Arabidopsis thaliana: one gene and its partners. The protein of the gene in region 1 interacts with the protein of each later gene in a pairwise test. Each region holds a gene or a part of one and is shown in the gene's direction. Other genes may lie near its edges.

Region 1 (7,450 bases):
CATCCTAATCTAAATAAGAACCCACTAGGGACTTATTCTAGGAAAGTATATAGATCAATCTTCAATAACAAGCAAAAATCATGTTCAACAAGGCGTGACTCCATTAGCCTTTTCCACACAAATCATCAGCCACTACATTGGTAAATTCAATGTGAAACATAATTTTGATATTTTAATTATTTTACTAAATTGGTTGCTAGATTTTTTATGTCTAGTCACATAGAGTGCAGAAAATAAAACACTGACATAACCTATTAAAGAGAGATTTGTAATAGATTCCAGAGAAGTGATGTTGCATCACTGTAAAATCTTGTCTAAAGATCCTAATATTGTTTGTAACCTGCAGCCTTAACTACAGTAACCTCTATACTTTTGTACTTGACAGCCAAATTTCAAAACTGTTTATTTCACTTTTCACTACAATTGTTAAAACAGTTTAAGAGGACCATTTTTCTCAATTTGGCTTTGTTTATTTCAAGACCAAGGCAATTAGGAAAAAAGCAACAAAAGTAAAGTGAAAAAGAGTCTTAAGGATCAACAAAGGAAAGAATTGATCTTTAGGGAGAGAAAGAGACCTGTGTAGTTAGGCTTTTAACGGCTTCTTTAGTGTTGGGAGTGGTGCTCCCACGCGCTTCATCTTCTTCATCCTCCTCACCTCTGTCTGCCATTTTAGTGCAATTTATGCAAGTAAACATCTTTGCACTCTTTTTTATGTTCTCTGCCTTTTAAACCCTATGAGCCATAAAACAGAAACAGAGTGTATTAAACATCACAACTTCTAAACCATTACTCATAAATAAAGGTAGCTATATAAAAGAAAAAACAAAGCTATGAAAATGTTAATGATGCTAGAGCTTAATTAATTAATTGGATAAGCAACTCAACTAATAATAAGTTAGTGAAACCCCAATAATAAAGATTAAAGGAGTAAAAACAAATTTCTTGAGAAGGATGATATATTCCTAGAATAGTAGTAGTAGATGAAGCAAATGTTTAGGATGCAAGAATGAGTTGAGACACATGATTTATGCAGTAAGCCATAAAGATTAAAGAATTATATCCCTAAAAATGTTTCATGAAATTAAGGAACTCATGAAATAAAGTAGAGAGGGATACAAGTTTTATATGTAGTATTAAAATAAAAACAAGCTATGGAGGTACATAATTAGGGGCAATAATAATCTTGATAAAGACAAAAGTGTTCAAAGATACAACTTGGGGATCAGAGAAAAGGACCACTAGAGAAAATATATTTTCAAAGGATTGTCGATGGCACCTGAATGGATCAAATTATAACCTTTGGAACAATAAAAATATTTGAAATATGATCATGATAGAGACAAGGGATGACATTAAAATTATATAGTTTCTGTTCTTTCTTTTTTAACAAAGAAAGTGGGTCTGAATAGAGAAGCGAAACTGAGTGTGTAAATGCTTTGTTGAGCAGCAATACCAAAGTAAAGACCCCATCTCCTCGTCACACACATAAATCAAAAGTTTCAAAGAATATTTATTTCTCCGGCAAGCCGAAGTTTCTGACATTTAAATATTAGAGAGCTTAATAAAAATATACAATTCTATAAAAAAAACAAAAACAAAAATTTGTTTCTTCTCATCACTCGTGTCCAAAAATACTGTTTTAAACTATAAAACTGAAAGTATGAAGACACTCGAATTTATTACAGCCAGAAGTAAAGAAAAAGAACTTAGCAACAAAATGGAATCTGTAACAGTCACGTGTATGATAAAAAAAACGAAAGAGCTAAAACAGAGAAAGAATTAAAGAAAGAGTTGGGTTCAAGTGATGATGGACCAATCTTAATGCATGTCGAAAAAATTGAATAAAATCGAAAGTATGTAAGAAAATGAGTTGTTTTCATTCAAAACCCAGTAGATAAAAAAAAAATCAGAGGTAATGAATGGAATTAAATTGAAGTATGGGTTTAGTGTGTTTTACCTTGTATCGAAAAGTCTGCAAGGTTAAGCGTCAAGCGTGTATATCTGAAACTTAAGGATTGCTTTTTGTTTCCTATAATAGACCCAACAAAGCTGCAGAGATTTAGCAGCGTTACAGGCGCAGTAGTAATATGAAGTAAATGCAAAAGGACGACGTAATTGATTATTATGATGAATGGCTTTTATTTTCATTGGAGAAACACAATTTCTTCCCTTTTTTTTGTCGAGTAAAAAGCAAAAGTAAAGTAGCAAACAGTAGTAGTCTAGTCAAATATTACTAGGGAAACTTTTGAATGTGGTAATAAATATTGCCATGAATGATCTGGTTAGTAAAAAATTGATAGATTTGGGTAATGTGTTTGTTATTAACCATCAAAAATGAAGCATAAGAAACAAAACACGTAGAACGATGATTTAAATCAGCCTGTAGATACTGAAGTAATAGAATGTAACAGTAGAGAAATTATCTGATTGGTTTCCAGAAATTTTTTTTTTACAAAAAAAGGTTTGACCAGCTTAGAAAATTTCACGAGAAAATCTTTAAATGGAGGGTTATTCGGAGTCGTACCTGAACCGCAACGTCTTCTTGAAGCGAATTCAAATCAGAATCTGAAGATAATCTCCGCTCTGTCGAAGCCAAATTACTCCGGAGAAGATCGAAAACTCCAAGAAACAGCGAAATATACTCTTCGACTGGAGAGGAACTTTAAATACAAGCATAAATCACGGGGTAAGAATCCGGGTAGTCGGGTCACCCAGTAACTGTTACGGAGCTCCGGGTTTTGTTTAGAGAAGTATGACGGAGAGAAAGAGAGAAGGCATTTGGAGGACCGACCGTGAGTAATTTATAAGGTGGAGGAAAATATAGAGATATTAACGGCGTTAGATTACTTACGACGTGAGTTGACGGAGATACTTTTTTTCTTTCTCTTTGAGTAAACCTTGAAATTTGGTCTCGATAAGAGACGGCAGGGAGGGCCCATTGGTGTTTGCCGGTGACGGAGATAAAAAGAGAGAGAGAGAGAGAGTTCTCTTACGTGTGCAGGAAGTAGCCTAGTGGCGGCTTTTAATTGGATGACGTTAGTTCAAACGGGTCGTGTTACGGTCATGATTTTACACACTATACAACTCCCCCAATGGGTACGGTCGCATCAGTCACAAACGTTTTTTAGTTGTTGTTTGGATCTCTTTATCAAAGTTTTTGCTTTAAATCGTTTTCTCTTGTTTTAGATAGAATCATGTGTTTTGCCCAAAAAAACATAGAATCATGTCTATCAAATATTTGTTCAATTTGTTATGTAGGGAAAATTGTATCTTTTGATTGGATGACATGATAGACCGATGAATGCCATTGCTTTCTTTTGACATTTATAGGCTTCGAATTGTTGTTTTGTTTATCAAATAAATCCAAAAAGGCCCAGAATCTTGGTGCAATAGGAGGCCCAAAACAGGCCCAAACTAAGAAGAGCTAAACCACAGACCTTCATTAATTTTTAAAGGGCTGAGAGAAAGAGAGAGACTGGGAAACGTTTCAGTTTTCAAAGTCTGTGAGTTTGATCTAGGGTTTTAGACAGAGCTCTCTCTCCTTCCAATTTCAAAACTGTGTGAAGAAGAAAAAATGTCGAGGGTTTTCGGAGCTTGCAGGGTACTGATGGCGAAGGCCGCTTCTTCCACCGGCGCTAAAACTGGTAGACAAGGTACTGGCATTCTTAAGGTGGTTCCCGTTTCGAAGCCGCTCGCTAATTTTATTGGGGAAAACGAAGTCTCTCGCACAACTGCCGTCAAGAAAATCTGGGAATATATCAAGCTTAACAATCTTCAGGTTAGGGTTTGCTTTATCTTCTCGAACATTTCTGGGTCTTCTCTCTGCGAGTTCTACTGGATTTTGTCTTTTAATTAAGCTCTCGTTACTTAAATTAATAACCTGTTTATGCCACGTGGGTGATTGATTGATCTAATAGAGCTTGTTTGACTGTATCTGCTTAAGCATTTTTCTGGGTGTAGGAAGATTCGTAGAAATTTTGAGGCTTTGTGTTGTCCTGAAGTAACTTGATTTCTTCAAAATGGTAGAACAAGGTGTTGTGATTAGCCTTTAATTCGGTGATTAAGTTTATCTTTGTGACTGCAGCTTATGATCTTGATGTTTTGGATATCTGATTTGTTCAGGAGTCAACATTTCAAAGCCTAACTTTTGTAGCTATATGTTCTTGCTTATGTTGAGTGAAGAAATCACTGCTTTTAGGGAAATTTACGAGCTAATGGAAGTTACTTTGATCGTGTTGTTAGCCTTAGCTGGTCTTACATTTCTATGTTTTAGAGATTCTTGTTTTCCAACACATACTATTGGTTTTTGATGTAGAATCCGGTGAACAAAAGGGAGATACTATGCGATGAGCAACTCAAGACGATCTTCAGTGGGAAAGACACTGTCGGGTTCCTCGAGATTTCAAAACTTCTGTCTCAACATTTTCCTAAGTCTGCTTGATTCCCACATTGCATTTTCCTTAGCTTCTATTACTATATCATCCAAGAAACGGTTCTTCTTTTTTTGTATCTTTTTATGGGTGATCTTTATTGGTTATATATAGACTACCAGCCAGTTCCCATCTGTCTTAGACGGTTTATGTATGGATGATGGTTCAAAGTCAATTTAGCTAATGGTGGTTTGTGTCTTGGAACTTTTTTATCTCTACTATAATCTTCTTCCATCTCAATATGGCATGGACTCCTTCACATCTCATTATCTCTCAGCAGGATAATTCTTATTTCCAAATATACCAATTCAACAGAACACGACTGCGTGGTTTTTGAAGTATGAAAGTGAAACAACTAAATAAGCCATTTATTAATATAAAAATCTACAGAGAAATTATATGAAAAGAAGAAACAAGTTTCTGTGTCCAAACCTATGGTTATAACATGATACATTGAGTGAGACAGAGAAAAGAAAGATACAGTTCCACAGTAGTATAAAAAGGCCGTATAGAAGGAAAAAAAAAACTCCCTAAGTCTGTCTCCTTGTGACCCAAGAAATCGAGTGTAAGCTTCTTGGAGTCTTCTTGCCAGTAATGTTATCAGAGAGGAGGATGATCTTCTTCTGGTGTCTGTGGTGGAACCGGTTTCCAACCAGGTTTCTCGTCCCAATACATATCGTAGTAAATGTGTCCTGGAGTCTTGTTCTCCTCACAACACCATATTCCCACATATCTCTTTACCCGTCTTCTAAATCTTTCTTCTCGCTCCTGCTTGCAAACCCGATTCGGTCAGGTCAGATTTACATGGTGTATCAACATGTCTAAATGTTTTCACGGTTTAAATATCTACTTGCCTTGTCAGAGAATCCGATGAAAGCATCTTCAATTGAAGAAAACTTGATCACTTTGACATCGTCGAAGGAAGAGAATATCGCCTTAAACTGCGGTGAGCACAAAACAAGGCGATAAGGCTAAGCCAGCGATTTTGAAATATAACAAAGAGTGATAGATAGCTAATGAAATCTTAGTTACCGTATCTTCATTGCTCCGCTTTGGGAACTTAAGAACCCGAGAGGGGCTAGTGTTATTTGATGCCTCGCATCCTTCTTTTCCTTCTTGACAAAGCTGAACATCAAGCCATGACTCTTTCACCTGAAAAATATTTTCACTCCTGACATTTTTTCTATGAAATGATTAATTAGAAAAATATATCTGGGCGGCTATATTACTTGTTTTGGCAGCAATGGGTTATCTAGAAAAGAATACTCTCTGATACCAATCCCAGGGCCAAACTCTTCCTCTGGTAGCTCCTTAAGCATGATATTGACCTGTAATTGAAATTATTCAGCTGTTATGAGTCATTTGCAGAGGAAGAATCAGATATTGACATGTTACAACATCATTACAAATACTACCTCAAAGACATGATCAAGTGGGCAGATGAAAGGTTGTCGGGTCATAGATCCCTGAAGAGTACCAGGATGCCCAAACCAAAGCCTATCTAACCTGCACCATATTGGTGGCATCACCTGATAACATTGTAGAGACCAACCAGCTATATATAAGAATCAATCATTATCACCAGGAAATATGCATTAAGCTGTTGAATGGACTCACCAGTGTACGATTAAGAAGAGATGCAATGGCTAGAGCTGATCTGATCTGTTTCATCTGTAAAGTGGACCAAAGGTGGATGTAAAATTAGAAAGGTGGTCAAGTTAGCATATAGTTCTGAGGGATCATGTTAGGTTAGTAGTTGTTACTTGGTGATTAACGAGGATAAAATGCGATTCAATGGTATGCTTCCCGTCAAGTAACAAGCTTTTTGGAATCGATGGTTTAAACGCAATGAAACCTCCTGCATTGTGTTGGAGTTTACAATGTTGATTTTGGCTTTCCCCATTAACAAGATTAATGTTGAAGAATCTTAACAGAAAGAATATTACCTGGTGAATCATAATATTCTGGTGGGTCATAGAAAACCATCCCCTCTCGAAGCCTGTGGCGTTTTCCTTCGGTACCTGCATACTGGAATGTTGTATGCACGGCATATGGTTCTAGCCTGAGTTGTTGATACATAGCCTTCCATCGAAAATAGAAGTTACCTGTTAGGTCATTTCTGAACACAAAAGAAAAGAGGATGATAATAAAACACAAAAACAGGAAGCATGAAGAAAGGTACCTGAACAAAATAAGTATGACCACTGCAAAATATGCTAGCTGGCAAAATTCCAACCTTGAGATTTCCATCATAAGCATAGAAAAGTCCACTATCCCCTTCCACAGATGGACCTAGCTGTCTCCTAACAATCTCATTGAACCCATTTTGATCCCAAACCTTATCGTCAGCTAAGAGAATTTCTTTCCATTCTTTTGCCAACTTTTTCGCAGATTCTGTCGGCCGCCAATGAAAAATTCCTATGTTGTAGGCAGCACCAACTTTCAAAGTCCAAGAAAAGAACGGTAGAGAAAACAGTTAGTAGCCATGTGAACAGATTAGCTGCTGATAATAATAAACTCAAAACACTTTTGCCAGAGTGATAAACGAATTCAAATGGGAACAGGGGAAAATGCATATCTATAGCTAACATCTACCTTGTTGCCATATGTCCAAACTGTCATCTATGACGGTAGGCACAACTTGATCGCTTGAAGTCAAAACATCAGCATCTGGGAATCGAGCCAAATAAGGCATAGGGTTCTGTCACATATAAATTATCAGAAGAAAGTCTATTAAGGAAGATAACGTGATGAATAACAGTGATAATAATCTGTCGAATTAGCACCTTAAGCCACACCATGTCAGTGTCACACATAAGTAGCTCGTAACCAAAAGGCAAGACAGAATCTATGAGAATAACTTTTTCTCTTCCCATTTTGTGGAATGTTGGAGAACCCCACCCGACATCCACTGTGCTCATATGGCTTCCCATGTCAAAAACTGGAACGCCTTTCCAGTACAAAGCCTCTAATAACTTTGTATCCATCGCACCTATAAAGCCCCATAACATAAAGTTACT
Region 2 (9,327 bases), on another chromosome or scaffold:
TATTATTATTAAAACTTGTACCAACGATAACTTTTGAATAGTTTAATTTCTCAGTCAATACTCGCCAAACATATTGTAGCTTTTTCTATCTCCATGATCTCCATTCACATTTTCACTCTATAAATACGCATCTCACTCGTTGTCTCTCTTTATACTTCAACCAACTGCTCTCTATCTCTGTGTTTCCCTCTCTCTATACTGCCGTCCATTAATGGCGGCCAAAGTCTTCACTCAGAACCCTATCTATTCTCAATCTCTAGTTAGAGACAAAACTCCTCAACAGAAACACAATCTTGACCATTTCTCTATATCCCAGCACACCTCTAAAAGACTCGTTGTCTCTTCTTCTACAATGTCCCCTCCGATTTCATCTTCTCCACTCTCTCTTCCTTCTTCTTCTTCTTCTCAGGCCATTCCTCCTTCTCGAGCACCTGCAGTGACTCTACCGTTGTCTCGGGTTTGGAGAGAGATACAAGGGAGCAATAACTGGGAAAATCTCATTGAACCTCTAAGCCCTATTCTCCAACAAGAGATCACTCGCTACGGGAACTTACTCTCCGCTTCTTACAAAGGGTTTGATCTAAACCCTAACTCCAAACGTTACTTGAGTTGCAAGTATGGAAAAAAGAACTTGCTTAAAGAATCCGGAATCCATGACCCTGATGGCTACCAAGTCACCAAGTATATCTACGCCACACCAGACATCAACCTCAACCCTATCAAGAACGAGCCTAACCGTGCACGTTGGATCGGTTATGTAGCGGTTTCTTCTGATGAATCGGTGAAACGTTTGGGAAGGAGGGATATTTTGGTGACGTTTCGTGGCACTGTCACCAACCATGAGTGGTTAGCTAACCTAAAGAGCTCTTTGACTCCGGCTAGGCTTGATCCTCATAACCCTCGTCCTGATGTCAAGGTCGAATCCGGGTTCTTAGGTTTATACACATCCGGTGAGAGCGAGAGCAAATTCGGGCTAGAAAGCTGCCGTGAGCAGCTTCTCTCCGAGATCTCGAGGCTTATGAACAAGCACAAAGGCGAGGAAATAAGCATAACACTTGCGGGACATAGTATGGGGAGTTCTCTAGCTCAGCTTCTAGCTTACGACATAGCGGAACTCGGTATGAACCAGAGAAGGGACGAAAAACCTGTTCCGGTGACCGTGTTTTCGTTTGCTGGTCCTAGAGTTGGTAACTTGGGGTTCAAAAAACGGTGTGAGGAGCTAGGAGTTAAAGTCTTGAGGATCACGAATGTAAACGATCCGATCACCAAACTTCCAGGTTTCTTATTTAATGAGAATTTCAGATCTTTAGGTGGTGTTTACGAGCTTCCTTGGAGCTGTTCTTGCTACACTCACGTGGGAGTCGAACTCACCCTCGATTTCTTCGATGTTCAAAACATTTCTTGTGTCCATGACCTCGAGACTTACATCACTCTAGTAAACCGTCCGAGATGCTCGAAATTGGCGGTTAATGAAGACAATTTTGGCGGCGAGTTTTTGAACAGAACAAGTGAACTGATGTTCAGTAAGGGACGACGTCAAGCGTTGCATTTTACAAACGCAGCGACCAATGCGGCATATCTACTTTGTTCTATATCCAACCATATGTTGTATTATAATATATTTTAGGTCTAGATTGATCCAAGCTAAAATTTTGGATTCTTTTTTAAGATAGGACAAAATAATTATTGCCCTATCTTTTACGTAGCATAAGAAATGTACATATATAGATGTATATGCAAAACCTAATACAAAAAAGTATATTTTCCACATCCAAGATAAATTATTGCGTCTCATCTATCACAATGTGAACAAAAATAATTATTTTCTTCTCTTAGTTACTATGAGTTCACAATATAATACTTTTCTTTAGGTTAAAGCTCTCAACTGTTGATGAAGTACAAGAACTCAAAATTGTGAATGAAAAAAAGGGACATCATCCAATATCAGGCGTGTACATATTAGCATTGTTGTGTATCTTTTTATATTATAGTCCATTAGTCCTAATCGATAGATGTATTTTTTTTTGTTTTATTAGTTATAAAAACAGACATCTATTATTAATTTGTTATGGTTAATTGGTTATTGTATATTATTATAGTAGAAGTGACGTGAGGTACCAACGTATTAGATTATAAATATAAATAATGGCCAAAGACAAAGCCATTTGTCAAAACTTCAACGTCATTATAACCTGTAAGATTAAAAATGAACAATAAGAAATCATATTTAGCAAAAAAAAAAAAAAAAAACAATAAGAATCATTTGTCAAATCTTCAACATCGTTACAGTGTATAATTTATATTTTGATTTTTTGTTCTAAATGATCAAAGTTCATATATAAAGTTATTTATATGCTCAAATTTAATCATCGAATATATATACAATTTGTCTATGTTATTTGTCAAAGACAACGTCAGCAATAGTTCCATATACTCTCTTTTTCTTTCGGAGTCTTTATATTACTCACGGAGATATTAAATTATATTTATTTTTTCACTGAGATATTTTTTTTTTTTTGGTTTAATGTTAATAAACTCACTGAGATATTAATTAATACATGCAATCTTTATCTATATTTCCCATTTTTATTTGTAAATGTGTCCCTTCTCGTGTTATGCGAGGGTCTTTTTTTAACTTTTTAATTTCTCATTTGGAAGCTTTCATCTATAAATATATGCACTAGCTTATTCTATATATAACATAAAACCGAAAAAAGGTTTTGTTCACGATGTGGATTCTCTGTTCACGAGAGGTTTTGTTGAAAAAGAAAGAAAGAAAATAATTCAACTTGAATTTGGAAGTTTGGTTACAGATCACATCATTCGACAATAAAAATAAAGACATATATAACAATTAGAACAGTAACTAATTTGAATTTCAGCTTCGATTTCTTACGAATCACATGGGGTCAATAAGGGTGGGGCTAGAAAAACACGTACGTTTGGAGACCAATGTGTGTATCATTCCTGCATGCGCATCAGATGTGTTTCACTCTTCAGAAAAACGTTTATTTTATTTTGCATGTCACAGTCGTAGCTAATTATCCGTACGCATCTTAATTACGACTCCATTTTACACACCAATTTATGGATATATAATTCAGACAAGATGAGTTCTCGTTTAATTTTACTTCTTTCCATTTGTGGAAGTTCATATACTATTGTGAAAATTTGAAAATAACTGGTGAAAGAGGAAACGTCCATATTTGTGGGCTCTATTTATAATAATAACAACAATATTAATTGTTTAGGTAAAAATTAACAGAACTATTTTGAATTACAATCGGAAAAAGGTTTGCGTCAAAAAAGTATTGATGAACCATGCATTTGATATAAGCATTTATGTTTGTTCAATTTACTATTAAGCAATTAAGTCGAATTTTATCGAATCATTTTAATTTTTACCTTTAACATTTCTGTGATCTTGAAATCTTTAAATTAACAATGTGAGTTATATACACTAGAGAAAAATAATTGCATTCCACTGAAAACCTCAACATCTTGGGAAATTTAAACTTAATCAAAGACATCGCAAATGTTGCTTATCTTTTTATCAAGCCCAGCCCACATATTCGCGGCCCCAAAGCCCAAAGGTTAAGCTGACTCGTTACAAAATAAATAAGTATTAATAAAGGTTTTTGATTGGCTTATTTCGGTTTAAATTTAATACCATATCTTTCGGAAGATCACGTGAGACACATGTGACATCCAACGAATAGCCAATCGCTGAAAAGTGAAGACTTTTTGTTACCCCATAAACAAAAGCATCATCTCTCTCTCATCTTTTATTTTTCTTTTAGAAACCAAACTTTTCAGATTTCTCTCTCTCCATTTGGCGATAGAAGAAGTCATGTACCAATCATCATCCTCCACGTCATCATCATCGCAGAGATCATCGCTTCCCGGCGGCGGAGGACTGATCCGTTACGGCTCAGCTCCGGGATCGTTTCTAAACTCTGTGGTTGACGAAGTCATCGGAGGAGGCTCATCAAACGCTCGTGACTTCACCGGCTATCAACCGTCGTCGGATAACTTCATCGGTAACTTTTTCACCGGAGCTGCTGACTCATCCTCGCTGAGATCCGATTCGACGACTTGTGGAGTCAACAACTCATCCGACGGACAGAAACAGCTAGGCAATAACAATAATAATAATAGTAATAAAGATATCTTCCTCGACAGATCCTACGGTGGATTCAACGAGATCTCGCAACAACACAAGAGCAACGACATCGGAGGAGGAAACAGCTCAGGATCTTACTCTCTCGCTAGACAACGTAGCTCTCCCGCCGATTTCTTCACCTACCTCGCCTCAGATAAAAACAGTTAGTCCTTTTTTTACTCAAGAATAGTAACTGTGATGAGATATATATATTTAGACAGACAAGTTTACTCATTTTCAGACCATTTTTCCTTAGAATTTGCCAAAAATCGTAATGTAGAATATGAGCTATATAGTTTTCAGTCATTCAATCATTCATTGCTCAACTAAAGATCCGTTTTTTGGTGAAATGAAAATCTAACCACGAGGGTATTTTCGGTATTTCTCACTGTGAAGTATCTAGTTTCTTACAAGTTAATTAACGACTATGTATATAAAATAAGTTGACATTGTGAGCTTTGATATTTAGGGTCGTTGCTAAATTAGCTTGGTTGGTACTTGTGCAAGACGTGATCCTCGTATTTTCGGAATGACGAAAATACCATTTGATCCCTAACCACGTGCTTGAAAATACAGCAAAAATGTGGCTCGGTTACCCTTAATTTGGGATATTATTTAAATCTTCGAGGATTCCTATATCTCAAGTTGCATTTATTTATTTAGAGGATGGATTTTTTCGTTGATGACCAATAGTTTCTCTGCTGAGATGGCGAAATATCATTGGTTGTGATGAAGATTATTCAAATAGAAAGCGATGTAGATCTAGTTGGTGGATCTGATCTGTCCACTTTTATATTATTTTTTCCTTGGTCCTGATGATTCGTGCTTTGCTTCGTTGTTATCTAATCATAATATCTTCCACCAAGCCTGGATGTGACTTCCCACACCTAACCGGTCACCGGCCTGAACCGGAATTCAACTATCCATATTATCCAAAAATCCCTCTTTATTTACTTACATTATATGGTTTCTAATATTTTGGATGTGAATGTGAATTATTTTTAAAAATAATTTTCACGTAATGTCATTATAATATAGTTTACTTTGTAAATCAGATTTCTCGTTGAACCAACCAACCAGTGATTATAGTCCGCAAGGAGGGTCTAATGGGGGACGAGGACATTCCAGATTGAAGTCTCAGCTAAGCTTCACGAATCACGACTCTCTGGCTCGGATCAACGAGGTCAATGAGACCCCAGTCCACGACGGTTCAGGCCATTCGTTTTCTGCGGCTAGCTTTGGTGCAGCCACTACTGATTCTTGGGATGACGGTTCCGGTTCGATAGGGTTTACCGTGACTAGGCCCAGTAAACGATCCAAGGACATGGACTCTGGTCTCTTTTCGCAGGTACAATTTATTTGTTTCCATGTGGGATTCCTTTTTTTTTTTCTTCATGTGTTATTACTATAAACATGCTACTTTAGTCAAATTATATGAAATTTCAAAATTTCTAGAAAAGGACAAAAAAATGTAAAATATTTGTTTTAGGATAGACATAAAAAAAAAAATTAACTAGTAAAGGTAAATGCAGCAAAACTCTTTAGTGGCCATACATTTTTGTTGGTGGCCAATTCTTACCGAATATTTTTATCACTGGTTTTGCAGTATAGTCTTCCTTCAGACACTTCAATGAACTACATGGATAACTTCATGCAGCTTCCAGAAGATTCTGTACCCTGCAAAATCCGGGCCAAACGCGGCTGCGCCACCCATCCTAGAAGCATCGCTGAGCGGGTCAGTTATAAACACTTTTTAATTTATTTAGCGATGGATAATTAATTCACTAAATTTAGCAACAAATTTGATCGTCCCTAATCATGTAGACCCTATTCTTTTTGCCATCCTCCTATCTTAACCTATACAATATGTTTATATTATAGGAGAGGAGAACGAGAATAAGTGGGAAGCTAAAGAAGCTACAAGATCTTGTCCCCAACATGGATAAGGTTACTTTATATCAAATATATATAGTATATATGGTAACATCATTTTGAAAAAGTGTTCATTACCTCACACACTTGTTGCTGATTTTCTTAGCAAACAAGCTATTCAGACATGCTGGATTTAGCTGTACAACACATCAAAGGCCTTCAGCATCAACTTCAGGTTCCCTTATCTTACTTTTTCTGTTTAGGTCAGCTGAATCCATTTCCAGAGTTCTCTCTAGTTCATGATCCATATTGATACATAAACACATTTTCATATACAAACGCAGAATTTGAAAAAAGATCAAGAGAATTGCACGTGTGGGTGCAGTGAGAAACCAAGCTAGCTCAAACCCAAAGGTAGGGTCATCCTAATTTTATTTGCATTGTTCCGATTTTATCATATGAGAGAATTAGAGAAGATGTAAATAAAATAGATTATATTAAATGTCTAATCCTCTTATAATTAAGCTCCTCATTCGTTATCATTATAAGATAGAACAGTGACAATTGTCCATTATGTTTTTGTTTCAAGTTTATGTTTTGAGTGTCGCCTATTTTGTAAGGATTATGCTATGAATTCTGAAACTAATTCGAGTTATGATCATAAGCAAAGCAAGCTAGCATCCATTATATATATGACTTTCTAATTTGATCTCTCTTTTCTTTATACTTCTTCATAAATAGTTCCTGAATTGAATATTGAAATTAAAGGTACGCTAATTTTTCTTATTTTTAAAATTGAAGAAATGGACCAAATACCAAAGTTACTTGAACCAATGAAAACATTAATAAGCAGAATTCACGTACCAAAGACCAAAGTGAATCTCGTTGATCATATAATGAATTATGATATATTTAGTAGTAGTTAGAAACATGCAAATAGATATAGGTTGATATGAAAATTGGCATAAAATGTATGAACCGGAATACTATTAGTAGCATTAACTTTCCTATTATTAACAAAACTAGCGTGTATGCACGTTACAGAGAAAGATTTATTCTTTATTAGAGATGAAATTTCTTTAGTTATACATACACTTTGGTTTTGTAAGTTAAAAAAATATAACTCCCTCCTACGTTACCAAGAAGTCCACCAACGTGGTGGATTTTAAAATAACTAACCAAAAACACAAATCAGGGAAAAGTCGTAAATTAAAACTGATAATTTGGAGGAAAATATAGAAAAAGAAAAAGGTAACGACATTAAAGAAGGTGCACTTAATGCGCAGTATGTCCTCTTGTGCCAGCTTGTTGCACCGTCTTCCGTCTCCTCCTCTTTCCCTCTCTCTCTCTCTCCAAACCAGTCCTACTTCTCTCTCTAGAAACCTAGGGAAGAAGAAGAAGACGGTGAAGCGAGCGATGTCTTCGGACGACGAAGGAAGAGAGGAGTATCTCTTCAAGATTGTTGTTATCGGCGACTCTGCCGTCGGTAAATCTAATCTTCTATCTCGTTACGCACGTAACGAGTTCAGCGCTAACTCCAAGGCGACGATCGGAGTCGAGTTTCAGACGCAGAGCATGGAGATTGAAGGTAAAGAGGTCAAGGCTCAGATTTGGGACACTGCTGGTCAGGAGCGTTTCCGTGCCGTCACTTCCGCTTATTACCGTGGCGCTGTCGGTGCCCTCGTCGTTTACGACATTACCCGCCGCACCACTTTCGAAAGCGTTGGACGTTGGCTCGATGAGCTTAAGAGTAAGTCTCGATGTGAATTATGCGATTGACTATCGATTTAGGGGATCCTCATGATCTAATTAGGTCGTACGGATTGACTTAGAATTGGGAAATTTTGAATCTAGTTTTGGTAGATTATAGAATTTGTGACCTAGCTAGAACATAACAGAGGATTATTCAAGAACCGCTTAGGAAAGTATCTCATAATGAACATCTTTAGATTGGTCTGAGATCTAAAATTGATTCATTTGCTCTTTTCTTGGTTGTTTCAGTCCATTCGGATACGACGGTGGCGAGAATGCTGGTGGGGAACAAGTGTGATCTAGAAAACATAAGAGCAGTGAGCGTGGAGGAAGGAAAGGCTCTAGCCGAAGAGGAAGGACTCTTCTTTGTGGAAACATCGGCTCTTGATTCGACTAATGTTAAAACAGCTTTCGAGATGGTGATACTTGATATCTACAATAACGTGAGCCGTAAGCAACTCAACTCAGATACTTATAAAGACGAACTCACCGTGAATCGGGTAAGTCTTGTTAAGGATGATAACTCTGCCTCCAAACAAAGCTCTGGTTTCTCTTGTTGTTCTTCCACTTGATGATATACCACACCAAAATAATCCTTTTTTATTTCTCACAACTGTAACTTTATTATATAAATTTTTGTTTTTTTCTTTGACTCATGGAAGAAAAGAAATTCATGAACTGTAATTTATTTGGTCACATTAATTTTCCTTTTATAATTTTGGCAAACATTCAAAAGATCTATTCATTCTACTTGGGTTATTTCCTATTTTAAAGAAACTAAATTTGATTGGTTGGTTTTGTGATTTTTGTCATTATTTGGGAAAAGCGAGGGAAAATAAATCCAAATAGGGGAAGAAAAAAAGAGATGGCTTTTCACCGAGTTTTCTCTGCTTTTGTAACAACGAACATGAACCAAGAATAATCTTTTCTTTCCCTTTTTTTGTTTGTCCCACAATTCTTCAAATTTTCTTCTCTCTATCTAATTCTCACGGTGGCGATGTCTTTACCTCCGTTTACTTGCCGCCTTCTCGCGGCGGCGGCGGCTCTCTATCTGATAGGTCTGCTGTGCGTCGGAGCTGACACGAAAGATGTTACCGCTCCCAAAATTCCTGGTTGCTCCAATGAATTTCAAATGGTAACAGGTTTCCCCAATTCGAGTTCCTAATCATTAATTTTATGGAATTTCACTTTTTAATTTCGTGCGAAGATTTGGTTAAACCGGAATCGTTTTTGCCTTTGTCTAACGGACCCTACGTATATATCTCATTGATTGATTTGAATCTTCATTGGAATTGCATTCAACCACAAATGCAGCTTTTGTTAAATTTCAATAGGTTTAGGTTAAATCCGTTATTGAAATCGATTGATGATGAGGATGGGGTAGTTTGTTCATTGATTTTGATAAAAATTGATTGATATGATATAAAGCATTGTTCCTTTTCCCCACAATATCTATGTGATCAATATTGAGGTTTCTCTGTTTCTGTTTATTACCAGTTGTCTATAAATAGATTCATGTACAACAAAACTTCTCTACATTA
Region 3 (7,188 bases), about 14 Mb from region 1:
AAATCACTTAACATCTTTAATCAAAACAAACAATTCATTTTAAAACGTATATAGAACAAGGTATACGTAAATAGTATACTATTTACAAAATAGAATAGTATCTCTCAAAATGCAACAACGGAACTCAATTTCATCACCAATACACCAAGCGCAACAACGGAACCCTATTTCATCATCAAGTGCAACAACGAAAGTCAATTCCCTGAACCTAACTTGTGTTCCTCGCTCTGTAATTCGAAACCCCCAAATCAAATATCACCCTAAAGTAATTAAGAGACTCTAATTTGAAATAAAAAACAAGTAACGAGGTAGGTGTAGGAACTTTATTGGGAGGAGAAAGAGAGAGGGGGAGAAAAAAAGAAAGAGAGAGAAAGAGAGAGAGAGAAAAAGATAGAGGGGAGAGAGAAGGGAAGAGAGAGGTAGACGGAAAGAGATAGAGGGGGTAAACTTGGAATTAATATATAAAATATAGAGGATATCATTGCTTTTTTTTTTATGCTAGTTTCTTAATTATATTTTTTTTTGGTTAGTTTTCCAATTCCCCTAGAGTTTTTATATTTTTTCCTATTTACTAAACTGCGGACCAAAATTATGAATAGTGAATAAAAAACGGTCTTTGTACGCAAGTTAGTCCGTCCCATTGTAAACCCACTCAAGGAAATGGTTCTTACAAAGTAAAACTATTTAAGAAGATATTAGTAACTTGTGTGAAAGATACTGTTGGCTTTGTTGATGGTTCTTGGTGATTCAAAATCCTAGAAGAATCATCCAATGTAGTCTCTCTAACCCATAAACATAAGCTTCCTTAGTTCATCCTACATAACTTGTAAACTTTTGTATAAATCACTTAATAAACAAGAGTACTTTGAAGACAAAAACAAAAACAAAAATGTAGTAAACATTGTTTTGTTTGTTTGTTTTACATTGAAAGAATGAAAAAGAATAGATACAGAGGCTAGAGTTTGTGGGAAGGGAAGGAAGAGAGAGTTTCTCATCTTTTGGCTGTCATGGCGTTACTTTGACAGCCCTCCAAAGACACTACTAACTTTTATCGCCGGAGAAATATGGAAAACCTCAAAAAATCTCATCTGACTGAGAAATTATGTATAGAAAAGAATTAAGTGACATCTATTGAAGATATAGAAAAAATAAATGAACACGTATTGTGTGTGGTTTGGTTGCACAATCTACCAGGGATTACCACTGGTTTTTTTCTTCTTGGAACCAATTCAGAAATCGGCAGAGTTTTAGCTTTCTTGCTGTTTCTGAAAAAAAATATTGGTTTGAGTTTCTTCAGTGAGATGTTTTATCATCATTCATCAAATCTCTCTCAGTTCGGCTGCTGCATCTATAAGAAAGAAGAACAAATTGTCAAATCAGTCTACAAAACAAAAACCCATTTAGAATCTCTGAGAAAGTTTTGTTTTGGTTACCTGGGAAAACAAGTATTCGTCGAACATTGAGATTGAGCAAGGCAAGGAGCTGCTGCTAGAACCAAACCTGGTTTGGTTGGTGTTGTCGTTGTAAGCAGAAGAATCAGGTGGTGGTGCTTCAAAGAATCCATTCATATGATACTCTCTCTGATTCATTGGAATATACACCTGAGCATGCGGAAGAGTAAGAGGAAGAGGAGGAGGAGGCAACGTTTGGTGATGATTCATATCATTGTGAAGATTGGGATTGTATGCTGTGATATTATTATTATTAGTGAACTGCTGCTGCGAGCTTGTGTCCTGTTTCAGCTGTCCGGTGTTTAGTTCATCAAGAAAGCTTGTTTCTTGACCCGGAATTGTCATTTCAGGAGATTTCCCTGTTCCAAAGTAGCCTGGATAGCTCCCGAATGAAGAACTCGCTGAGCACTCGACTTCCCTTTTGAGGATAGACAAAGATTTGGTTTTAAGATATGATTCAATATTAAAAGAAAGAAAAGTTCTCTCGGTGAGAGTTTTCACTAACCTCTGCGGGATTGAATTGTGTTCCTCGGTGACAATGTTGGTGGTGTTGCTATTAAGAATCCATGACATAGATTGAAGCTGTTGTTCTAAAGGAATCTGAATCCCATCTTGCATCTGAAAGTTGTACAGCCGGGTTTACAATTTGTTTTGTTACAAATGAGAACTAAAGAAGAGTCATTCGAGTAAATTACCGAGCATGTTGACCAATCCTTAACAAAGTTTGCGTTTTCTATTTGCATTGCCTGTTGCTGCTGCCCAAAATGTTCCTATCAACAGAAGAGTTTTTAGTTTTTTGTTTCGCGGATGAAGTGAAATGGAAAAGTTTTAAACAAAAGATACCTTGTGTGCACGCAATTGATCAAGGGATTGCCTAATCGAAATTTCGAGCTGTCCCAAGTGTTCAACATTGTTAATCTTATCTGGTTCCGTCCAATAACTGCAGAACATGACACTAACAAGTATAAAAAAGAGCACAGACATCAAGAGAACAAAGAACTATCATCCTCAGCAAGATCTTTACCTTAATCTTCCATGTATCTCAGAAATCCGAGCCTGCAGAATCCTTGCTTGAGTACTCAAGTCCTGAAAAAAGGTTGTTTTGTATAAATTTAGGCTTTGGCAAATGTCATAGACGTTAGAAATGGAAAGAGAGTCTTAAAACCAATACCTCTACTGTTGAATTACTGAAACCAAAGAACCAAAAGCAAACAAGAGAGAAGAAAAGAAGTTAATATTCATATAGAGTTTCTTGCAAGAGATTTTGATATAAAACTGTTTCCGGACATACCTTGAGGCTATAAATTCGCGTATATTTACATCGTGATCCAACTTTTGGAAAGTTTTCTTCAAGTTCTGAGCTTTCGAAAGAGAAACATCTAAAATCAGAGATTCTCAAGGATCAAAATTAACCAAAAACTTCATTTGATTATGTGAAAATAAACTTACTTCAAGACTCTCGAACTTCCTGTATTCAAAAAAGATGAAACCAATGAGTAAAACAAGACCAACCATTGCCGGAGAAACAAACAAAAACATATCGATAAGAAAACACCAAACCTTTTCGTTCTTTCCTGCGGTGTTACTTGAGAAAACTTAGCAATCACCTCTTCCATGCTACTGAAGAACAATCATAATACATTCAGATAACACAATCCAAGAGAGACAATGATTATGTTGACAACAAACAAAACAAAGGAAGACACATTAGATAGATTACCTTCGTGTACCGCAACATATTGCAGCCTTGCCAGTAGGAGAGAACATAAGAAGAACAATATCAATGTCACAAAGAATAGATAGCTCATTAGCCTTTTTCAAGATCCCATTTTTCCTTTTAGCAAATGTAGATTGGCGTCCATTTGTGTTCTCTAACTTCTTTATCTTCAATTTTACCCTTCCCATCCTGTTAATCCCCAACTATATATTAAACCAAAATCAAAATCTCTTCTTCTTCTTCTTCACAAAACATCAATAAACTATTCTTCTCTTCAATCCAACACAAAAAATCAAAACTTGAAATGAATCATTAACATAATACGTTTCCAGAATCTGCAATCTATAATACCCAGATCATGAATTTCAATTTCATCACTTTGGGTTTTCAATAAAGATTCAATCTTTTTCTGAAGAAAACAGAGAGATTGTGAAAACCCTTATTAAGAAGAGATAAGGAAAGAGAAGAAGAAAAGGAAACTTACCTAAAGAGGCAAATTCAAACGCCAAGCTGATACTAACCATGAGCGAGATCTTAAAAAGGACCTCTTGAAGAAGAAAGGGAAAAAAAAAAAAAACTTCGAAACGAAGAATCGAAAACCAGAGGTAGAGATAGAGACAGAGAAGATGATTGCGGTTAACAGACTCTGCGCAAAAACCGGTCTTATGATTAAGCCGCTTGAGAATAGGGATCCTCATTGGAAGAAGAAGAACAAGCAGAAACAACTCTCAACCAAAAAACTACGTCGTTTAATCTTTATCTGACCGTTACACCAGAATTACCATTTTACCCTTCTTCCATTGTTTTATCCACACTTTAAAGATTGAAACTTTTTTTTTCTACCTCACCGACGATGATGATAGCAAGGTGTTCTCTTTTTCCGCCGCCGTGTTTCTCCGCCGTGAGGATTAGATGTTTCGCCGGAGAAACTTCAGATACTGGGATTCTATTCCGGGAGAAGCTTATTTACCTTCAAGACCTTAACGTAGATCCTCACAAAGCTCTCCGAGTAAACCCATCTCTCCGTTCTGCTCCAATCTCCTCCGTCGTCTCCGTCGAGACTCTACTCTCTTCCACCGGACTCTCAAGACCCGCCGTTGGTCGTATCCTCGACATGTTTCCAGATTTGTTAACTTCTGATCCTGAATCTGAAATCTTACCAGTTCTTCGCTTCTTATCCAATGAGATTTCAATTTCAGAGCAAGACATACCTAAATCGATCTCTCGTTGTCCTCGATTGCTAATTTCATCTGTAGATTATCAGCTTCGTCCTGCATTAACGTTCCTCAAAACCCTAGGATTCGTGGGTCGCGACACGATTACGTCACGGAACACGGTGTTGCTTGTATCGAATGTGGAACGAACCCTAATCCCCAAAATTGAGTATCTTGAAGAAGGGTTAGGGTTTACAAGAGAAGAAGTAGCGAAGATGGTTGTGAGATCTCCGGCGTTGTTGACTTATAGTGTTGATAACAATTTAGTTCCTAAAGTTGAGTTTTTTATTGAGGAGATGCGTGGAGATGTTAAGGAGCTGAAACGTTTCCCTCAGTATTTTTCGTTTAGCTTGGAGAGGAAGATAAAGCCAAGGCATAGATTGCTTAAGGAACATGGGATTTTGATGCCTTTGTCTGAGATGTTGAAGGTTAGTGATGGTCAGTTTAACCATTGGCTTTTAGAACTTCGTCTTAGGTCTGCTGAAAGAAGATGATGATAAACAACAACGTTCTTTTTGATGTTCTTTTTACTTGAGATTTGGGACATGTCAAGACACTTCACATGAGTTTTGTATATAGTTTCTGTTTCAATGATTAGGCTGAGTACATGTTTCGTTAGATCATGTAATGTGTAACTTGAGATCGTGAAAGAAGATGATGATCAACAACAACAATGTAAGCTTTTTGATGTTCTTTGTTCTTGGTACTTGAGATTTGAGAGATGAAAATTGCAGAAGTTTTGTACTTTGGGACATGCTAAGACACTTTCATATGAGCTTGTATATAGTTTTTTGTTTCAATATGTTAGATCATGAAGGTGTAATTAAGAATCTAGTTTTTTTTTTTTGGTAAGGTAATTAAGAATCTAGTTGATGAGGAATGAAAGTTGCTTTAAAGTTTACATGAGAAAGATGGTAATTGACTGCAAAAGTGATGATTTGCACCAAGTACGTGGGTTTCAGTAGATGATCACATATCCCTAGCTGAGTGAATTAGAAATGTTTTGCGTTTAACCATTCAAAATTTCAAATTATGTCCATTACTTTGAATCTTTCTCAATGGTTCTGTTAGCTTCTTTCAATGTACTCTGTAATTCACAAGACTTGAGTATTCATTAGCTTATGTGTTTTTTGCTTCATAATTTTACAAATAGTGTGTGGTGTTGTTCTCTGTAACTTCGGGCATGTTCGTTTATTAATCGCTGCGACAGCGACAACGACTCCGACGAAGACAAATTTTTTAACAGAGATACAAAAACAGTCGCTCAATATGGACGCCGGCGACGTCTCTAGTGAAGATGTTGAGTCGCTGTTATTTTTGGCAACACGTGTATATGCCTTATAGGTCGCTGTTTTTAGAATCGAGTGATTCCTCTCCACATAACTTTCTATAGACTTCAACGTAATTGTGTGTTAAACAACTGTTTTTTTGGTCGCTGGATTTGATCGCAGCGTCTGGAAAAAGAACAGGGCCTTCAAATTCTCTCCTAAATTGTTAAGAGTTGACTCAAACTGAAAACTGTAACCTTCCATAATTTTGAACCATATAGCTTGGAAACCAATAACTTAAAGTCGGATTAACGAGAAGCGAATACACGATCCTCAAATACTGATTCATTTCCGTACATAAAGCTCAGGAAGTAATTGGTGTTGGTGTTAGCCATCTGAATTGTCCTGCTCGAGGCGCTGGCTTTACCTCTAGCACATCTTGATGTTGTCATCTCCTCTTGTGTTCTCAGTGGCCTTCATTTTTGGTAAACTCAATAAAGTGGAGATTGTATTAGTCCTAAACAAAACCTTCTTAAATTTAAGACAAGTGTAGGGTCGTGCATACAGAAAATAACGTTTTTCACTTTATTTAGTTGGTATATGACCAATCTTAGGTTTGTTGCGTGGTAAACCGGTAATGGTTTTCTACAAATTTATTTGGGTTAATTTGTTCATGTCTTGTATTTTAATATCTTTCCGATTTTAATTCGCTCACTAATTATTTTTTATTTACTTTTTTATAACATGATATATTGATATATATATATATATATATATATATATATATATATTAATAAGTCAGAATAGTTGTGAATAAGAATACTAAAACTTACAAAAATAATAATATTTTTATACAGTTTTTCTTTTGGAAATATTTTTAAATAGGTCATGAAAAATATAATCTATGAATATATGATAATATACATAATTTTTATTATAGAAAAGTTAGAATACTTATAAAAAGGATAATAAGAAAAAGGATTTTTTCTGTTTAAAAGATGTTAAATACATTTTGATCAAATATTCTTACTACTCGTCAAATTAATTATTTAACTACTTTTTTTGTTTTAATGCTAACCTATCAAATTTTAACAAATAACGAGGAAAATATTTTTTATAGTGGCCATTTTTGGAATAAATTTTGAAAATTTTCTATTTTCTGCTATTTATAATTATTTTAAATTATTACATGCAAAAAATAATCCGAATTTTAAACAATATCTGAACCGTAGTATATATATGGATATTTAATGTAAATTTATTTAGCACTAATTCTCCATAAATTGTTAGGCGTTAAGATTGGGTCTAACATGTAAATCATGAATAAATCCAAGATTAATTGTATATTATTTAATGTTAGAAATATATATAAAGTATTATGTTTTTTTCTTTCCAAAACAAGTTATTACTCAAAAAATCTATTATAGAAATTTCAGTTTTCAGAAGTAAATAGGGTATAAATGTTTAGTATTTTGTGGATGCCATATACTAATTGCATACTACAAGTGTATGAAGAAGAAAATTGCAGTTTTTGTAAA
Region 4 (8,288 bases), on another chromosome or scaffold:
AATGACTCGCATTAAAGATGATGTTACACAAATGTTATTAGACATTATTTATTTTCCATATTTGTATATGATTTGTAACTATGTGTTTTGGATTTGAATAAATTCCCACAATCTTAGTGATCATATCAAATTTGTAGATCTTTCCAGATATAAACATATTGAATTATTCAAACACAATCGTATCCTATCTCCATGATTCTTTTATTTAATCCTACCAACATCAAGACTAGTAGTAAATTAGTTACTCGGTTACTCCACAAACGGCGTGGCGCGTAAGATAAAACTTTAGTGTGTAACGATGGAAATCTTTATGGAATTACACATTCCTATCAAAATTTTTTTTGTGTGGATAAAACTCCTATACACTTGGAACGACTAAACAACAAACCGAACGTGTGATCGTAATCTTGTTCATAATAAAAAAAAAAAAAACGTGCAAACGTGAAATGGTAACATGAAGGAGAACATGATACTCTTATTAGCTCCTTTATTCCAGGAAATCGAGCAGTGACATTATTTGCAAATAACTGAAATTTAAAGAAGAAAATACGTTAATCTCATCACTATTAGACCTGAAAATTACTCTAACTAGTAACTACTAATTACAATAACTTTTATATATATCCAACAAGGCAACAATATAAGTTTATATATGGACGTGTGTATAATTGTGTCCTTAAATATATTAGATTGAAGGCATATTAATGACGAGTGAATGAAAGAGAAGTGTACAAGAATAGAATAATATGGATGTCGAAATGAGAAGTAGCCTTTGTCGTGATGGCTGAAATTAGCCCAACTTTTGGGCCTTATTTCTTGTCATGGGTCCACTATGTCTTCTTTGCTGTATTTACATGTTTGTGTTTTGCAACATATGAACACCACCCTTTTCTCCAAAACTAGGAAAACATATATCAATTAATGTATTTCAAGTATTGACGTAAATTTTCTTTTTAAAATAATGAATACGAATGACATAATCATAGAGGATTTATGCAAGTGTTTGTATTAGTAGTGTCTCTGTATCACCATCTTGATCTAAAACATGTAGAATGCATATAGGCCTGAATAAAAAACAATAAACATGCATCACACACGCACACGTATATATATATTTATGTCTAAGTTTTTCATATATAAAGTATTTTACACTATGCAGCTAGTTCGCTAGGACTAGGAGTGGTGTGACACGAGAGGAGGGACATATTGTGACTTCTTGAAAACTACGTTGTTGGACTTTCCTGACTTTCATGTTGAGGTTTTGGGCGAGACATTTCCATTTGGATAAACAGTAATCGAAACATATGCTTTTATAGTGTCTGAAATAGATACGTCAAAGTTGGGTGATCATACCGAAAAAAAAAAACGACTATACAAGTTTTCCAAATTCGCTAGCAACTTGTAAGACTAGCCTTTAAATTCACATATCTAATCATACGCTATATTTCACTTCTTGATGATAAGAGTGCACATATATCGCGTCTAGTCAATCTTGTGAAGAATGGATCATAACAGTAAACAATATGAAGTATGGATAAAATCATACAACGTCGCTCAATCACCGCAAGTGATCTTTAGATTGATTGACCGTGCGATCTGTACCACACCGAATGTAATATAATGTATGAAATTTTTTTTTGTTAAGTTCTTCGAATGGATTAAAATGTATCTAGATGTTTACATCTTTTATGTTTTGCCAATAAATATAATATATACTTGAGTACTAAAAATAATTAGTTGAAATTAACAATTTTTACTCGTCTTCTAAAAACCAGATTGTTTATAACTTCTTTAATTTCTCTTTCCTTACCAAAAAAAAAAATAACTTTTTGGGTCATTCACATTCCATACAAAATAAAAATTAAATCATACTCATTCAATAAATATTCGGGTATTTGTGAAGCTATATGTATGCATGGATAAGTAAAAGTACTTTGATACAAAAGTTTTGATTGCAGAACGGCACGATGTGATGCGTGAAATGTCAGTTAGAGACGGATAAGTAGTCTCAAAGTAATGAATAGTAGTCTAATCGAAAGTGAAAATGAACGTTAAAATGTTAATAATTATGTGGTTGATGATGTTAGAGTAAACATCATCGATGAATACGGCACAAGGGATGTTGGGAAGAGAAATTAAGAAAATAATAAAATAAAATAAAAAGAAAGATTGATTATGGAAAGGAATGGAAGAGGAAAGGAGGGAGAGACAAGATAGAACAGCTCTTATGTGGGGTTAATCAAATAGTAGTTTTGTTTGGTTTTTTCCTTAACCTAAGTACCCCACGCACCATCTTTATACGTCTGTCTATGCATGCATATACACACGCACATATGCATTCATGTGTACATAAGCTATCTAACATATAACAGGTCTGTTATATATATGAACTTTAAATAAATGGAAAACAACAAAAGGGTTTTAAGAAATTGCATCATTAGATTTTATATTTGTAACTCTCTAATATAATGCATTTGGAATTTTTTGCATCACTTCCATTTGATATGATACCAATCAATCGGCCAACATAGCACGAGAAACCCTTCTCTCTTAGCGAGAATTTTACTTTTGTGATACTTATTGATTATTCCTATTATTGTTATTTTGCTAATTGTATAACTTTTTTGTAATTGGTCAATCAATATTACTCTACATATATACATATAGCATTACCAGTAGTCAATTGATTTCTTGTTTCGTTTTGGTATCTGTCTTGCGGTTGATAGGTTAGGTCAAAGCTAATAGGTTTGATGAGATCAGATTTGATGTACCATGATTCTCATAGACATGATCTAGAATTTCAAATACATGTTACAAGATTGTTGATCATGGACATACGTATAATCCATGCTTTTGTATATATTGTAAGTCTATTTACAGTTTCAATATAATTTTTTCGTTTAAACGCTATTTTGAGATGGTGATTGCTTTTCCATTCTATTTCAGACCAAATTTCAATTATGTTTGGACCGATCATACTTTTTAGACTTATTGAACTTTAATTTCATACAAAAATGATGAATTCTAAATAAAAACGAAGTAACAATACATATAGAGAAATTCTACACTACTATATTTTGTTAGTTTAATTTCTACTTTTTCACCTTTTTAGCGATAGACTTTAGCAGTTACCTATAAAGATTAACTATATACGTTCCATATTCTGAACTAAAAGATTAAACTAAGGTTCTGAATGAAGACCGTATTAGATAAGGTGGGTGGTGTAAGACGGACACCTAAAATAATATATTTTCTTATGAACTCTGATGTTATTCTGACTGCCTTGATCTTTCCAATTCACCCGCAATCGTTTTTATTTGAAGAATGAAAACGAACAAATTTAAAGTAACTATATATCCGACTAAAAAAAAAATCACAGTTATACTATGGTTTACAAGTGCAGCTATTATCTTCTTCTTTTGTTAAATATTTCAATCTTCCTTTTTCACATCAAAATAATCAAAACTAGCATCATAGAACATCTGAAAATCAATAATATCACTTCTCTCTTCTTCCCACAAAAAATAAAATAAAATTATGTACAATCCCTAGATCCACAGGTCTAGGTCAATCCATGTAGACACAATACGATTATTTGATGGGTCTATATATAGTCCATACGTACTAGCGTGATTAAATAGGATCAACATTGGACCCATTCACTATCCAGCTTCGTCCCTACCCCAATATCACTACATCATTATATATATGAAATTAATTTACATCAATAGAAGTATGAAAGGCGTTAGTTAGCTACTTATTACATATGTTCTCAGCCTATGCAAATGATTTAGCGAAAAATAAATTGTAAATTAAGTTCTTTAGAAATAAATTTAGATGATAAAAAGAGAGAGAGAGACACAACTTTGATAGTTATGATTTAAGATGAGAATTGGACTTACAAAAAAAAGGACAAATCTAATAAAAGAAAAAGTTATTAGATAAAATTTAAAGGACAAGTATGATGAGTGAGAGAGAACACCTCTCTGCATGTCTCTCCCAAGGGGAAAAAGAAGAGTCCTTTCTCTTCTTACCATTTTGATTATCATCTCTTCATTTTCCACTTTGTACGCAAGCTAAACCCCCTTGTAATTTGCTTCCTTTTTTCATTTTCAACAATATTTAGGATTATGCCAATTTGATATGAGTAATAACACAACGAAAACACTAAGATTACATGTTTTGGTCAATTCTACGATTTTTAATCTGCAATTACATTTATTTATTTTTTAACCCCATTTTTTTTGTTCTATCTCCAACTAAAAGTAGATATTACACCTCAATATCATATTCAAAGTTCAAACTGTGTCTTTTGTTGTGGTCTGATGCAAATTTTATTTATAGATGAATCTCAGCGCACCACACAATAATCCACTATCCTAAAGACTAAAGAGTAAGTATATACCAGGGTAAATTAAATTGGATCCCACTTTTACTTGGAAGCCAACAATGGTTAAAAAAATATCTATCTATAAACGATTGTCGAAAATGAAGATAAAATTGGAGTTAATAATTATATATACTTTGGCTTAACGTAAATGAAGTTTAAGCTTGTATTTGATCGTGTTATTTTTATTTTTTTTAACGAGAGAATCAATTGAGTGCGTCTCTTTCTCTTCTCAGCTCATATGTCCTCTCTCTCTCTCTCTCAGCCTTTCTATATAAAACGAAATAAAGAAGAAATTAAATACCAGAAGTGGTATAGTCTAGGCCGATACATTTCACTATCTCTCTCTCTTTTGTTTTTCCTCTTCTTCTTTTTTTCCATTTGATTTCAAACTCTCACACAAAGAGCTTCAGATTTATAAGACCATGATAATGGCTTTAAGACAAAGATTGGCAAGAAGAAAAAACTAAAGAGAAACGACCAAAATCTCAAGCAAACAGTACTAACTTCTGTTGCAAAACAGAAGAAGATGTCTTGTAATAATGGAATGTCTTTTTTCCCTTCAAATTTCATGATCCAAACCTCTTACGAAGATGATCATCCTCATCAATCTCCATCTCTTGCTCCTCTTCTTCCTTCTTGCTCTCTACCTCAAGATCTCCATGGTATATATACATAAACTTCCACACACATCTCCTCTGTTTTCTCTCTATCTCTTTCTAATGCTCTGTTCTGTTCTGTTTCAGGATTTGCTTCGTTTCTAGGTAAGAGATCTCCAATGGAAGGGTGTTGTGATTTAGAAACAGGGAACAATATGAATGGAGAAGAGGATTATTCAGATGATGGGTCACAAATGGGAGAGAAGAAGAGGAGATTGAACATGGAACAAGTGAAGACACTAGAGAAGAACTTTGAGCTTGGAAACAAACTTGAACCAGAGAGGAAAATGCAGCTAGCTCGTGCCTTAGGTTTGCAACCAAGACAGATCGCGATTTGGTTTCAAAATCGAAGAGCTCGTTGGAAAACAAAGCAGCTAGAGAAAGATTATGATACTCTTAAACGACAGTTTGATACACTTAAAGCTGAAAATGATCTTCTTCAAACTCATAATCAGAAACTCCAAGCTGAGGTAATTAATCTCATAAATTAACAAAAAAAATCAATATGTGTTATTTTTTTTTGGGTTAATGATCAATAATTACAGTTATTTTCCATCTAAAGGATGATTTTTTTCTTTTTAAAAAAGGTTAAAAATTATATTTCTGGTTTATAATTATTTGGATCAGGAGTTGCTTTCAGGTAGGGTTAAAAAACTGGACATGATTCATGACTTTTCAGACATCATTATCTCTTTTTTTCTTCACTCTTGTCTGGAAAGAGATCTGAAAACAATAGTTTCTTTATGCTTATCACATTGTACAGTAACTCTGTTTATGTTTAAAATTTTGTCTTTAATTACGCAGATAATGGGATTAAAAAACAGAGAACAAACAGAATCAATAAATCTAAACAAAGAAACTGAAGGATCTTGCAGTAACAGAAGTGATAACAGTTCAGATAATCTCAGACTAGATATCTCAACTGCGCCGCCATCAAACGACAGTACATTAACCGGTGGCCACCCACCGCCACCACAGACAGTTGGTCGACACTTCTTCCCACCGTCGCCAGCCACCGCAACGACAACTACTACAACAATGCAGTTCTTTCAAAACTCATCTTCAGGACAGAGTATGGTTAAAGAAGAGAATAGTATCAGTAACATGTTCTGTGCAATGGATGACCATTCTGGTTTTTGGCCATGGCTTGATCAGCAACAGTACAATTGAAATTGGTCTACCTGTTTTTTTTGTTTTTGTTTTTAAAAAAATTTATATTTTTTTTTTTTGTATTTGGAATTTTGATCAGAAGAACCCATGCATGTTTTCAAAAACTGGAATCTATATCATTAGCTCACTTTGAAATCTGCAACCAAACACCACTGAGGTTTTTTGTTTACTTTTTGAGTAAATGAGATGTAAAAAAATGGGTAATATCCATTATATTATATAAAAAATAATATCATTATGGCCCAACATTTTTCTGTATGGAGAAAAATAAAATAAATTGTATATTATATAGTTTAGTCGTGGGTACTGGCACCATGTGGTCGTAGTCGTCATATTCAGAAGTGGGAAGAAATAAATGGAATAGCACAAATGAAAAGGACATTTTCCATGAAACAAATCATTATTTTTGTTTAAATCCATGAAATAAATTCTGCATATGTCATGATTTGGTCGAGCGGGTTAAAAGGACCAAAGAAAAATGATGGGACAAAATCTAAACGAGTGAAATTTGTAATCACGAGACCTTACAAAAGACGTACGATATTTAAATCTGACGATGCCGCAGACCATCAATTTCATAACCCTTCTCTTATTCTACAGTTACATTATTCATTTCACCGTGTGTGTCTTTTTTTTTTTTTTAAGAAAAAAAAATCTAACATCACTATCAGCAAATTATAGTTTGTTTTTATATTAAAAAAGACAGCAAATTAGAGTTTGGTTTGATGAAAACCTTTGTTGTCCGGTTTGATGACAATGCCATTCGTTCTCGCGCAGAAATATTGATGAGGTATCAAGTAACATATCATGCATTAAAATAATGTGTCACCGTGTAAAATAGTACTCATCTATCAATGACATATATTAAATGCATAGTCCCATTAGAAGTCTTGGTTCATCAACACAAAAATATTTTAAGAAATCAGATATCCTCAATTTCTTTAAGATAATATGGGATTTTAAGTAGAAGAGATTATAGATTTGATGAGAGTAAAAGAAGCAGCAAGAGACATTAGACGCACACAGATTCCAAGGGAGATAGAGGAAGAGGACAAAGAGAGTTGGAAGAAAGCAAGCAAACAATTTGGGGTTGGAAAGTTGTCACTCTCCTTTTTAATCGACTCTTCTCCTTTTTAACTCCTTTTCATCTTCCACATTCAAATGGCCGACACTTTTAAACTTTTGGAAATTTCTTAAAGAATTCGATGTTTCCTTTTGGTGATAAATTTGAAATCTCACTTACAATCTATGTTTATTAAAAAAAATATTGAACCAATCATTAGAAAAAATCAATTAAAATTTTAAAAGATGCTAGCGACAAAAGAATGCGACAAAATCTATAAATAAAAGTTGCTTAATACCCAAAGATGTGGAGAAACTAAGGCCAATGTTGGCTTCAACGATGTTGAACCAAAAAAATTGATCGCCATATATAAAAGCGGTTGTAGGCTAGAACACCGTTGATTTTTTCTTCTAAAGAACTAGTGGTGAATTGCCAACTTTTTAAAACCAGAGAACTGAAGTGTCGCCAGTTATAGAATCCTAAATTAGATTAAAATCAAAGGATATTTTAACTTTCATTAGATTTGAAAAATCAAAACAGTTAACATGTTCAAACCCCCATGTTGAAAATTATTGGTGTTAACCCAAAGGTCCATAAGAAAATATCTCGATACTCGGTGTTAACTAAAAAAAATACTGCAAATGATACTATGTAGCTCTAGTTCAACACGATCTCTCTAGTCTCTAAATGACTATAAGAATTCAAAACAAAACATATCAAACGAAATGCGTTGGTGCGACCCACTAGAATCACCCACTTCTTTCCTAAAGTACAATTTTCTTTTTAGCTAACCGTGTTTGGTTTGCTTTGCTTTTTTGGTTAATGGACCCTTTGTAAACTTGGATGCTTCAACTACACTTATATGCTCACTCTTATCACTTCCACGTAATATACTTATAAATTGTACAACTAGGAAATGACTTCTTGTGTGCATGTGTCTGTATGATAAAATCCTATATCATAGAATTGTACATGTGGTAAAACATTCCTTACGTTTGCTATCTAGTTA

The links.
Region 2: the proteins of AT2G35605 (region 1) and AT1G05805 interact in a two-hybrid assay, tested with the Arabidopsis thaliana proteins (one large-scale study listed by BioGRID).
Region 3: the proteins of AT2G35605 (region 1) and EMB93 interact in a two-hybrid assay, tested with the Arabidopsis thaliana proteins (one large-scale study listed by BioGRID).
Region 4: the proteins of AT2G35605 (region 1) and ATHB13 interact in a two-hybrid assay, tested with the Arabidopsis thaliana proteins (one large-scale study listed by BioGRID).

The regions. Positions count from the first base shown.
Region 1 is NC_003071.7:14,942,587-14,950,036, forward strand, and holds AT2G35605 (SWIB/MDM2 domain superfamily protein), read left to right. Parts: upstream 1-3,454; 5' UTR 3,455-3,574; coding exon 3,575-3,778; intron 3,779-4,315; coding exon 4,316-4,441; 3' UTR 4,442-4,690; downstream 4,691-7,450. Other genes in the region: BRXL1 (BREVIS RADIX-like 1), read right to left, coding at 576-695; XEG113 (xyloglucanase 113), read right to left, coding at 5,031-5,198, 5,285-5,371, 5,463-5,582, 5,660-5,758, 5,846-5,959, 6,048-6,101, 6,194-6,288, 6,377-6,512 and 3 more.
Region 2 is NC_003070.9:1,740,993-1,750,319, forward strand, and holds AT1G05805 (basic helix-loop-helix (bHLH) DNA-binding superfamily protein), read left to right. Parts: upstream 1-3,451; 5' UTR 3,452-3,850; coding exon 3,851-4,325; intron 4,326-5,217; coding exon 5,218-5,510; intron 5,511-5,768; coding exon 5,769-5,897; intron 5,898-6,043; coding exon 6,044-6,109; intron 6,110-6,200; coding exon 6,201-6,269; intron 6,270-6,378; coding exon 6,379-6,435; 3' UTR 6,436-6,742; downstream 6,743-9,327. Other genes in the region: DGL (alpha/beta-Hydrolases superfamily protein), read left to right, coding at 212-1,627; RABA5E (Rab GTPase-like A5A protein), read left to right, coding at 7,313-7,784, 8,036-8,358; SPPL5 (SIGNAL PEPTIDE PEPTIDASE-LIKE 5), read left to right, coding at 8,784-8,921.
Region 3 is NC_003071.7:897,782-904,969, reverse strand, and holds EMB93 (Mitochondrial transcription termination factor family protein), read left to right. Parts: upstream 1-3,970; 5' UTR 3,971-4,021; coding exon 4,022-4,876; 3' UTR 4,877-5,280; downstream 5,281-7,188. Other genes in the region: AGL30 (AGAMOUS-like 30), read right to left, coding at 1,401-1,869, 1,957-2,069, 2,147-2,221, 2,295-2,391, 2,476-2,537, 2,623-2,638, 2,743-2,807, 2,901-2,919 and 2 more.
Region 4 is NC_003070.9:26,254,250-26,262,537, forward strand, and holds ATHB13 (Homeobox-leucine zipper protein family), read left to right. Parts: upstream 1-4,538; 5' UTR 4,539-4,916; coding exon 4,917-5,052; intron 5,053-5,133; coding exon 5,134-5,516; intron 5,517-5,850; coding exon 5,851-6,216; 3' UTR 6,217-6,532; downstream 6,533-8,288. UniProt on the Arabidopsis thaliana protein: Probable transcription factor that may act in the sucrose-signaling pathway.